3 linked regions of the Ovis aries genome follow. The protein of the gene in region 3 interacts with the protein of the main gene of each other region in a pairwise test. Links are inferred from orthologs where the notes say so. Each region holds a gene or a part of one and is shown on either strand. Other genes may lie near its edges.

Region 1 (3,647 bases), on a different chromosome or scaffold from region 3:
TTTTGCAGAACATGGAATCTCGTGGAAGGAAGATCAGCATTCATAAAAAACATAAAACAAAGTGAGTGTTTCTTTGACTTTTTTTTTTTTTTTTTCATTTTTGGCTGTGCTGGATCTTCGTCATCGCAAGGGCTTTTTCTCTAGTTGCAGCGATTGGAGGCTGCTCTTCTGTTGCGGCATGCGGGCTTCTCACAGCAGGGCCTTCTGTTGTGGAGCGTAGGCTCTAAGGCATGAGGGCTCGATAACTGAGGTGCACAGGCTTCGTTGCTCCGAGACTTGTGAGATTTTCCCAGATCAGGGATCGAACCCATGTCTCCTGAATTGGCAGGTGGATTCTTTACCACTGAGCCATCAGGGAAGCCCAAAGTGAGTGTTTTTGTTTAAAAACATTTGAAAATTTGATAGGCTGTGAATGTGTATACACACAAGTTCTCGTGTCCACACACCTACAGTTATTTCCTTACATGGTGGTGGCTCTCTCTGAGAGCATAGGCCTTAGGTCACTTTTTTCCCTCCTCTTTCTATTGGGATTTTTGGCATGGCTCTGCCACCTATGAACTGTATGACCTTAATGATTCTTCAAACCAGTTCCTTGTCGAAAATCTAACTCATAAAAATATGCATCATAAGTTTGCTGTGAAGGTTTAATGGGATAATGGGTGTGAAAGTGCCCAGTGTAAATATTTGCTATTTTTTTATGACCCCCGATCAGTTTCTTTTTTTATCTATGAAATACAACAGCTTTGTTCTTGTAACTTACAGACGCTCACATAGTGGAATGGTCGCCAAAAGGAGAGAAGTACGTAGTTGTCATACTGAACAGAATAGATGTCTATCAGCTCGACACTGCGTCCGTCAGTGGCACCATCACAAATGCAAGGAGAGTGTCTTCTGTTGCGTTTCTTTCAGTGAGTGATCAGAAGTCAGTGGTGGGAGTTGAGTGTATACTGTGATGGTCAGAATTGTTGATGACATTCTGGGTGTTAATGTGTGGTTTTTTTTTTTTCCCCTCTGTTAGGAATCTGTCCTCGCAGTGGCTGGAGATGAAGAGGTTGTAAGGTTTTTTGACTGTGATTCCCTAACATGCCTCTCTGAGTTTAAAGCTCATGAAAACAGGTACTTTTTTTGTTTTTTACACACTAATCTCTGTGGGCTTGTATGTGGAGGGTCTCTTATAAGGGCAGTAGCTTCATAAGGCAGACTTTTTTGTGAATGACTACAAAAATAGACATATCTACAAAACTGATTTTTTTCAAGAGGATGGTGGGAATGTTGTCTTGGCCATAGTGATGCAAAAGTGGTGAAGTCGTCACCAGGATTAGTCATTGGCACAACAGACTTATTTTCTCAATAATTTCATTACACTTGCTGCCTGGAACCCTCAATTCATACTTGAGTGGGAAAAAAAAATTAGCTCTGCCCCAACCACTCTTGTCTTTTTTTCCTCTGTTTGCCTGTCCACTGGCCTCTTCCTACACTCTGCTTTTCCTGCAGGAGAAATAAATGACATGTTGACCTCTGTCTTGCGTCCATCTCCGTTACTGCTCACTGTATCTCTAAAGGCAGATGTGAGTCTCAGGGTCAATGGTTAATAACCGGACCAAGGTTACCACCCTGTTAGATGATAGAGAAGGGAACCAACCCAGTTCTATCTGACTGCTTCTGCTTTGTCTGCTGTAATTTTGTAAAATGGTGATGTAATATGTTTTATTTGCATATTCTTTTATGTTTCAAACAACTCTTATTCATTCTTTAAAAATGCTTATTTATTTGGCTGCACAGAGTCTTAGTTGCAGCACGCTGTGGCATGTGGGATGTAGGTCGAATCTGAGTCCCCTGCTTTGGGAGCGTCAGAGAAGACAATGACAACCCACTCCAGTACTCTTGCCTGGAAAATCCCATGGACGGAGGAGCCTGGTGGGCTGCAGTCCATGGGGTTGTGAAGAGTCGGACACGACTGAGCGACTTCACTTTCACTTTTCACTTTCATACATTGGAGAAGGAAATGGCAACCCACTCCAGTGTTCTTGCTTGGAGAATCCCAGGGACAGCGGAGCCTGGTGGGCTGCTGTCTGTGGGGTCTCACAGAGTCGGACATGACTGAAGTGACTTAGTAGCAGCAGCATTGGGAGCGTGGAGCCTTAGCCACGGGATCACCAAGGAAGTCCCATACAACTCTTAGTTTTCATTTTCTATATCATAGTTTAGCTTTAAGAAATCTCTCTTTACAAATACAATACTGCACTCACTAGACAGGCCCTCGTTTCTACCTGCCTAGTTTTGGGGAAGGGAGCCTATTCTTCAAGGCCATATAGCTCTTCGTGGATATTTGGTTGTTCGTTTAACAAGTATTTGCTGAGCAGCCCTAACGAAAAACTGCAGCAGGAGCTTGCACTCTCCTGGCTCTTATCTTATTGGGGGGCAACAAATAGGACAAACAAGAACTCAGGTAATCCTAACAGGAAGGAAATAGATATTACGGTTTGGGAATGACACAGGTAACTTATTTGGATGGGATGATCGGGGAAGAGGAAATGAGACCTTCGGGATAAAGGAGTTATTTCTAAAAGGGAGAGAATTGCAGGCACAGTGGCCCAGAGGGATAAAAGAGCTTGGTGTATTTTAGGAACAGATAGAAGACTGTCACTGGGTCAGAGGGAGCCCGACGGTGCCGGGCCCGGCGTGTTGTGGGAAGAAGTTTGAGTGCCTTTGCAGGGGTTGGGTTTTCTATGTCCCAGCCACTTCCTCCCTCTTGTGGTATTTTGAAACCGAACCTACCTCTGTAGAATTTTAAACCTGGGAATAACATAGTTTGATTTTTTAAAAAGTTGTTAGGGGGCAAAAATGGAAGCCCAGAGGCCAGTTAGTTTACTCCATAATCCAGAAGGAAAATGATAGTAACTCAGAAGGTGGGTGGTAGGCCCTGAGGACAAGGGGAGGAAGCCTCAGTCACCTCTTTCTCTCAATATAGTTTCCTGAGGTGGAGGGGGTTTGAATATCTTTATTTCCTTTAATTCCTGATAATTCTTTTTATTCCTGATAATCTGATCATTTATAGTCTTTTCAAGTCCTTCTTAAGGTATGGTTGACAGTCAATTCTATCTTGGAATTTAGACCCTGAAAATGACTCAACCAAGTCATGGGATTGTGAGGTATGTTAAACTTTTGGCACTGTTTGTTGAGCAGTTTGGAAACACCTGAAGCCTGGAAAAGTCGAGAGACTGTGCCTGAAGTTTTCTAGCAGCATCATACTGTCTGTAGGAAAGGCTCTTTAATGGTGTCACTGCTTTTGTCCTAGGGTAAAAGACATGTTCAGTTTTGAAACTCCAGAGCATCGTGTTCTTGTTACAGCATCGAGCGATGGTTTCATCAAAATGTGGAAGCTTAAGCAGGACAAGGTCAGTGTCTCAACACAATATAAATAAACCAAATGCAGGTCTTACTGTCAGTATGACTTTGAGTTAAGTGAGGTGGATTTTCTTAAAGGTTCATTGGGCACAGATCTTTTACATGTTTAACATTTCTTCAAGGCATGATTGATATTCATGGTTTTAAAATTAGGGTTGCATAGTGCTGCCCCGGGGGTTGGTATTGGTGAGTCTGAACTGGCTGGATCCCAGAACGCCTGCTCATTCAGTCAGAGAAAC
Region 2 (3,747 bases), on a different chromosome or scaffold from region 3:
GGGAGGAGGATGGTTGGATGGGCCTGAGCACAGGTAATAGTAGGGAGAGAAATGCTGTCAGCAGACAGAAAGGGGATACCGTCTGTTTCTGGCTAAGTTCCTATCCCAGGGACAGAGGAAAGAGGAGAGATCTCAGAGGGGATGTAGGGACACAGGCTGGGCAATGAGAGTGGTGTGGGGATTGAGTGGTGCTGTGGGCCCAGAGACAGGCGAAGATGAGTTGATGGGCCCGTCCTGCCCGTTGTCATCCTTAAAGACAATTCTTCATCCTTCCGGCAGGAACTCAGTCCTAGCGCAGTGGCCGGCCCAGGCCTCAGGCCGTCTCTGCCTCTCCGTGGCCTGGGGCTCCCGTCCCGGGCCGGACATGCACCTCCTGGTCCAGTTGCCCCGTGGACGCCGGCAGCGGGTGGGTGGTGGTGGGGGCTCCAGATCCGCCTCTCCTCCCCGCTTTGCGCCCCCTGGTCCCTCCCCTCCCCCTATCCCCTCCGCTCCCCCTTCCCCTACAGCCCCTCCCTCCTCCCCTGCCCGGTTCCAGCCCCTCCCTCCCCTCCCCCACTCGCGATCCGGGCCGCTGCTGCTGGGCCGGACCCCCCGGGCTCAGCCCGGCCCCTCGCCGAGCCGCCGCCGCCGCCCCGTTTGCTGAGGAGGAGGCCCCCGGCCGGGGCGCCGGGCGCGGGGCATAAAACGGGCCAGAGCCGGCGCCTGGGGCACTAGAGCCGCGTACGGCCCGGGTCAGCGCCCGCCCGCCCGCGCTCCTCCCGGCCGCTCCTCCCGCCCCGCCCGGCCCGGCGCCGACTCCGCGGCCGCCCGACGAGCCCCTCGCCGCACCGCTCGGGCCCTGGCCCCGGCCCCCTCCCGCCGCACCGCCCCCGGCCCGGCCCTCCTCGCGTCTCCCTCCTCCCTCTGTCGCTCCCTCCTCCCTCCCGCCTCCCCAGCTGTCCCGTTCGCGTCATGCCGAGCCTCCCGGCCCCGCCGGCCCCGCTGCTGCTCCTCGGGCTGCTGCTGCTCGGCTCCCGGCCGGCCCGCGGCGCCGGCCCCGAGCACCCCGCGCTGCCTATCCGGCCCGAGAAGGAGCCGCTGCCCGTTCGGGGAGCAGCAGGTAGGAGGGCGCCCCGGGGGAGGCGCGGGCGGGGAGTGCGGCTCGGGGCAAGTCTGCGCCCGCCCGGAGGGGGCGCAGGGCGCAGGTGGCTCGGCGCGGCGGGCGGCCCGGAGGGGTGCCCAGGGACCCGGGGCCCGGCCCGCAGCGCCCCGGGGCGGGCACACGGCAGGAGCGGGACAGCGGCCGCCAGCCAAGCCCGTCCCCGCAGGCTGCTCCTTCGGCGGGAAGGTCTATGCCTTGGACGAGACGTGGCACCCGGACCTGGGGGAGCCCTTCGGGGTGATGCGCTGCGTGCTGTGCGCCTGCGAGGCGGTGAGTGGACCCAATGGCTGTGGCCGGGGGCCCTGTGGGTCGGGGAGCGCTGAGGTCTTGGGACGTCGGATGGACCCGGAGCTGCTGAAGAGAAAGAAGCCAGTCTGCAGATATTTGGGATAATTTTTTTGGCGGAGGAGGCACGAGGAAGGATAGAGGAGAGGAAGCGCCCCCTTCAAGTCTCAGGTGTTGCCTATTATTGATCGTCCACTGTGTCAGGCTCTTAGCCAACTCCATTTCATCTCTCACTTAACTCCTAGTACAACCGCGTTAGACAGAGAGTATCATTGCTCCCGTTTTTCAGACGGGGACCGCGCAGCCCAGAGAGGTTAAGTAACTTGTCTAGAGTCACGCAGCTTGTAGGTAGCAAAGCACTCTTGACTCCGTGGGCCGACCTTGACCTTGTCCGATGCCTTCTCGGCTTGCCTTTGATTCTCAACAATTGATGTCTTGCCCTCACTCGGCTTTCCGTCTTCTCTGTGAGCAGCCTCAGTGGGGTCGCCGCGCAAGGGGCGCAGGCAGGGTCAGCTGCAAGAACATCAAGCCCGAGTGCCCAACCCTGGCGTGTGGGCAGCCGCGCCAGCTGCCTGGACACTGCTGCCAGACTTGCCCCCAGGGTAAGGCCGGCTCCGCGGAGAGGGGAGGGCGGCAGGGCCGAGATGCGTGGCTGGGCGGAATGGAACGGTCAACTGGCCCTCTCCTTGCCCACCCGAAACCCGTGTCCCCCACCCTCGGTGCAGAGCACAGCAGTTCGGAAAAGCAGCCGACGGGCCTGGCCTTCGAGTATCCACGCGACCCAGAGCACCGAAGCTACAGCGACCGTGGGGAGCCAGGAGCTGAGGATCGGGGGCGTGGAGACGGCCACACGGGTAGGCAGAGGCCGGGTAGGAACTGGGGTTGTGACAGGCGCCGGGCCGCAGCAGCGGGTGACGGAACTAGGGACATCTTCCTCCCCTCGCAGACTTCGTGGCGCTGCTGACAGGGCCAAGGTCGCAAGCGGTGGCGCGGGCTCGAGTGTCGCTGCAGCGCTCCAGTCTGCGGTTCTCCATCTCCTACCGGCGGTGAGAAAGAGGAAGGAGGGAGGAGGGGTCAGCCCGGGGCCAGGGAGGGAGAATTTGGAGAGGCTGCAGCAGCGCTTCTGGCCCAGGCTCAGAGCCGGTGCTCAAGGGATGCTCATTACCAGGCTGGACCGCCCTACCCGAATCCGCTTCTCTGACTCCACTGGCAGCATCCTGTTTGAACACCCTGCAGCGCCCACCCAAGATGGCCTGGTGAGATGATGCCATTTATGAGTGCTTATCCCATCTGGGCACTATGCTGAGAGCATGCTCTACATTGCCTCCTCGGGTCCTCACAACAGCCCAGTGGGAGAGAGGCACTGACATTATGATGCCCATTTTACAGATGAGGGAACTGAGGCTCAGTAGCAGAATGTGATTTGTTCAAGGTCATACAACTAGTTGGTGGAGGATCTGGGATTTGAACCCTGGCATCTGGTTCCAGGGCCCTTTCTTACACATCCTAGGAGAGCCTGGGGACAGCTTCCCGTATTCCTTTCTCACCAGACATGGGCCTCTCAGCAGGCATGTCCTGTATACTGAGAGGGCCTTCTTGTCTCTCTGCTCCAGGTCTGCGGGGTGTGGCGGGCAGTGCCTCGGTTGTCCCTGCGACTCCTTAGGGCAGAACAGCTGTATGTGGCACTTGTGACACCCACTCACCCTTCAGGGGAGGTCTGGGGACCTCTCATTCGGCACCGGGCCCTGGCTGCAGGTGAGGGGAGCCAATCTCTCCTGGACGTGAAGTTCAGAGTCTTCTTGGCCCCCCAGAAATGGAGTGGGCTGAGGGGGGCACTTTCTGATGGGCTCTCGTGGTCCTTTTTTCCCCAGAGACTTTCAGTGCCATCCTGACCCTGGAAGGGCCCCCACAGCCAGGCATAGGGGGCATCGCCCTACTCACTCTCAGTGACACAGAGGACTCCTTGCACTTTCTGCTGCTCTTCCGTGGGCTCCTGGAGTCCAGGAGTGGGGGTAAGCGGGATGGGGGCAGACACGTGAAGAGGGTAGGGAGAGCACCCATCTTTCAGAGGTTCCATGTGTGTGGCTATTGCAGGACCAGCCCAGGTTCCCCTGTGGCTCCGGATTCTACACCAGGGGAAGCTACTTCGAGAGCTCCAAGCCAATGCCTCAGCCCAGGTGAGTGAGGGTCTGGCTCTAACTGCCGCCTGCTCTAGCCTCTTGCTGTGCCCACCGCACCCTCCTCTGCCCCCAGGAACCGGGCTTTGCTGAAGTGCTGCCCAACCTGACAGCCCAGGAGATGGACTGGCTGGTGCTGGGGGA
Region 3 (3,647 bases):
TCAGTGCCCTTAAATTTAAGTGGTACCATTGAATATTTCCAGACATTAGGGTGAAAATGAAAGCGACATGGGTCATTTCCAGGTGAAAACATTTAGAGGTCAATGCCTGAACCTCCAGCTCTTTCTTACCTCTTGCAGTTACCAAGGACACCACATGTCAGGATGCTAGAAGGTCAGACTGGGTCCTGAGTGATTATTTGGAAAGCTGGACTTGCAAAGTTAGTAGGGAGAGTGACCAAACAGTAAACTTTATGCTTATGTCATTCAGATTTGAGGGTTAATGTATTACTGTGACATAAACCCTATCCTGAGCAGTAAACGAAACTAACATGGGGTTTCCAAATTTCTAGTATGTGAAATAAGGAGATTTTAAAAATAAACAAGATGAATGGAGAGAGTAACATGGAAGCATATACACTGACTTATGTAAATAAACAGCCAATGGGAACTTGCTGTAGGACTCAGGGAACACACACTGGGGCTCTGTAACAACCTAGAGAGTGGGACAGGGTGGGAGGTGGAAGGGAGGTTAAAAAGGGAGGGGACATATGTACACCTATGGTTAATATATGTTGATGTATGACAGAAAGCAAACCAATATTGTAAAGCAATCATAAATCAATTAAAAATAAATGAATATAAAAAATAAACAAAAGTCCTCTCCATATGCCATCATTATATAAAAGACATAATACTTTAGAAACAAAAAATATAAGATACAATCACAGAACAAAGGATGATTCCATAAACTGAATAAACCCAGAGGGATGGGATGGGGAGGGAGGTGGGAGAGGGGTTCAGGATGGGGAACACATGTACCCCCGTGGCAGATTTATGTCAATGTGTGGCAAAACCAATACAATATTGTAAAGTAAAATAAATAGATATGACTATTTTATTCTTCAGGGAGCCCTTGGTAGCTCAGACAGTAAAAAGTCTGCCTGCAGTACGGGAGACCTGGGTTTGATCCCTGTGTTGGGAAGATCCTCTGGAGAAGGAAATGGCAACCCACTCCAATATTCTTGCCTGGAGAATCCCAAGGACATGGGATCGCAAAGAGTCAGACACGACTGAGTGACTTCACTTCACTTTATTTTATTCTTCCTTAATTATATCATTATGCTGGGCAAAAGCTTCATCATGAAAGAGAAAATTGATCTTCCCAATGATATTTGAGAATCACAGATCCAGATATCTAGAATTACAGATCATGATAACCACGCCACGGTGTGATCACTCACCTAGAGCCAGACATCCTAGAATGGAAGTGAAGTGGGCCTTAGGAAGCATCACTATGAACAAAGCTAGTCAAGGTGATGGAATTTCAGCTGAGCTATTTCAACTCCTAAAAGATGATGCTCTTAAGGTGCCAGCAAGTTTCGTAACTCAGCAGTGACCACAGGACTGGGAAAGATCAGTGTTCATTCCAATCCCAAAGAGAGGCAATGCCAAAGAATGCTCAAACTACTGCACAATTGCATTCATCTCACATGCTAGGAAACTAATGCTCAAAATTCTCCAAGCTAGGCCTCAACAATATGTGAACCAGGAACTTCCAGATGTTCAAGATGGATTTAGAAAAGGCAGAGGAACCAGAGATCAAATTGCCAACACCCATTAGATCAAATTCTAGAAAAACATTCACTTCTGCTTTATTGACTAAACCAAAGCCTTTGTCTGTGTGGATCACAGCAAACTGGAAAATTCTTCAAGAGATGGGACTACCAGACCCTGTCTCCTGAGAAATCTATATGCAGGTCAAGAAGCAACAGTAAGAATCGGGCATAGAACAACAGACTGGTTCCAAATTGGGAAAGGAGTACGTCAAGACTATATATCATCGCCTTGTTTATTTAACTTCTATGCATCGTAAGAAATTCTGGGCTGTATGAAGCACAAGCTGGAATCAAGATGGCCAGGAGAAATATCAAAACCCCAGATATGCAGATGATACCACGCTTATGGCAGAAAGTGAAAAGGAACTAAAGAACCTCTTGATGAAAGTGAAAGGGGAGAGTGAAAAAGCTGACTTAAAACTCAACATTAAAAAATCAAAGATCATGGTATCCAGTCCCATCCCTTCACGGCAAATGGATGGGGAAACAATGGAAACAGTGAGAGAATTTATCTTCTTGGGCTCCAAAATCACTGCAGATGGTGACTGCAGCCATAGTAAAAGATGCTGGATCCTCGGAAGAAAAGCTATGACCAACCTAGACAGCATATTAAAAAGCAGAGACATTACTTTGCCAACAAAGGTCCGCATAGTCAAAGCTATGGTTTTTCCAGTACTCCTGTATGGATGTTAAGAGTTGGATCGTAAAGAAAGCTGAGCAACGAAGAACTGATGCTTTTGAGCTGTGGTGTTGCAGAAGACCAGAGAAGGCAAAGGTACCCCACTCCAGTACTCTTGCTTGGAAGAGTCAGACACGACTGAACGACTTCACTTTCACTTTTCACTTTCATGCATTGGAGAAGGACATAGCAACCTACTCCAGTGTTCTTGCCTGGAGAATCCCAGGGATGGGGGAGCCTGGTGGGCTGCCGTCTAAGGGGTCGCATAGGGTCAGACATGACTGAAGCGACTTAGCAGCAGCAGCAGCAGCAGTTGGAGAAGACTCTTGAGAGTCTTGGACTGCAAGGAGATCCAACCAGTCAATCCTAAAGGAGATCAGTCCTGAATATTCATTAGAAGGACTGAAGCTGAAGCTGAAATTCCAATACTTTGGCCACCTGATGGAAGAACTGACTCATTTGAAAAGACCCTGAAGTTGGGAAAGACTGAAGGCAGGAGGAGAAGGGGACAGCAGAGGATGGGATGGTTGGATGGCATCACCGACTGGGTGGACATGAGTTTGAGTAAACTCCAGGAGTTGGTGATGGACAGGGAGGCCTTGAGTGCTGCAGTCCATGGGGTCACAAAGAGTCTTAGACTACTGACAGACTGAATTGAACTGATCTAGATATTTTTTAAATGGTGAGAGAAGACTGTTGACCCAAAGCAACTAAAAATATATAATGACAATGTCCAACATTACCTGTCTTTCAGTGAGATCCAGATTCACTGCTATCTCATATCGCCTCAGTCTGGTCAGATAATTATGATGGGCAAATTCTGCTTCAAGTTCTCTGATTTGCTCTTTGGTAAAAGCTGTTCTTTCCTTTCTGGGTTTGCTGTTGACTTCTGACTTGTAATTTCCTTCCTGGGAGTCTGGTGAAAAAAAGTAAAAGAATTAGATTTAGTTCATTCACTCAAACACATTCAATCATTTAATTTAGAACAGAAACATTTACTGAATAACTACTTTTCCAGGTACTCTATTAAACACAGTAAAAATAGAGAGAAACCAAAGACAGTAAGATTTATCTTGACAGGGTGAGATAAATTGCATTTTTTTCCTATGCGCCCTGAGGTGACTCACAGCCTAACTGGGGCTGTGTCTAGTTTTCTTCTTTTGAAATATCAATATACACACAAAAAATTAACTGTTCTTAATATGCTTCCCTGGTGGCACAAATGGTAAAGAATCTGCCTTCAATGCAGAAAACACTGGTTCAGTCCCTAGGTTGGGAAGACCCACTGGAGAAGGGAATGACAACCCACTCCAATACTTGCCTGAGAATTCCAAGGACAGAGGAGCCTGGCA

The links.
Region 1: the proteins of MEOX2 (region 3) and PAK1IP1 interact in a two-hybrid assay, tested with the Homo sapiens proteins (2 studies listed by BioGRID). The two-hybrid records come from large-scale screens. The link is inferred for Ovis aries from reciprocal best matches to the Homo sapiens genes MEOX2 and PAK1IP1.
Region 2: the proteins of MEOX2 (region 3) and CHRD interact in binary tests that used the Homo sapiens proteins (3 or more experiments, as listed by UniProt). The two-hybrid records come from large-scale screens. The link is inferred for Ovis aries from reciprocal best matches to the Homo sapiens genes MEOX2 and CHRD.

What each region holds. Positions count from the first base shown.
Region 1 is NC_056073.1:44,622,795-44,626,441, reverse strand, and holds part of PAK1IP1 (p21-activated protein kinase-interacting protein 1), read left to right. Parts: intron 1-8; coding exon 9-61; intron 62-762; coding exon 763-908; intron 909-1,018; coding exon 1,019-1,116; intron 1,117-3,298; coding exon 3,299-3,398; intron 3,399-3,647. UniProt on the Homo sapiens protein: Negatively regulates the PAK1 kinase. PAK1 is a member of the PAK kinase family, which has been shown to play a positive role in the regulation of signaling pathways involving MAPK8 and RELA.
Region 2 is NC_056054.1:203,596,897-203,600,643, reverse strand, and holds the start of CHRD (chordin), read left to right. Parts: upstream 1-942; 5' UTR 943-951; coding exon 952-1,099; intron 1,100-1,307; coding exon 1,308-1,411; intron 1,412-1,898; coding exon 1,899-2,028; intron 2,029-2,151; coding exon 2,152-2,280; intron 2,281-2,372; coding exon 2,373-2,472; intron 2,473-2,594; coding exon 2,595-2,682; intron 2,683-3,039; coding exon 3,040-3,181; intron 3,182-3,297; coding exon 3,298-3,438; intron 3,439-3,520; coding exon 3,521-3,603; intron 3,604-3,679; coding exon 3,680-3,747. UniProt on the Homo sapiens protein: Dorsalizing factor. Key developmental protein that dorsalizes early vertebrate embryonic tissues by binding to ventralizing TGF-beta family bone morphogenetic proteins (BMPs) and sequestering them in latent complexes.
Region 3 is NC_056057.1:25,002,752-25,006,398, forward strand, and holds part of MEOX2 (homeobox protein MOX-2), read right to left. Parts: intron 3,212-3,647; coding exon 3,039-3,211; intron 1-3,038. UniProt on the Homo sapiens protein: Mesodermal transcription factor that plays a key role in somitogenesis and somitogenesis and limb muscle differentiation. Required during limb development for normal appendicular muscle formation and for the normal regulation of myogenic genes.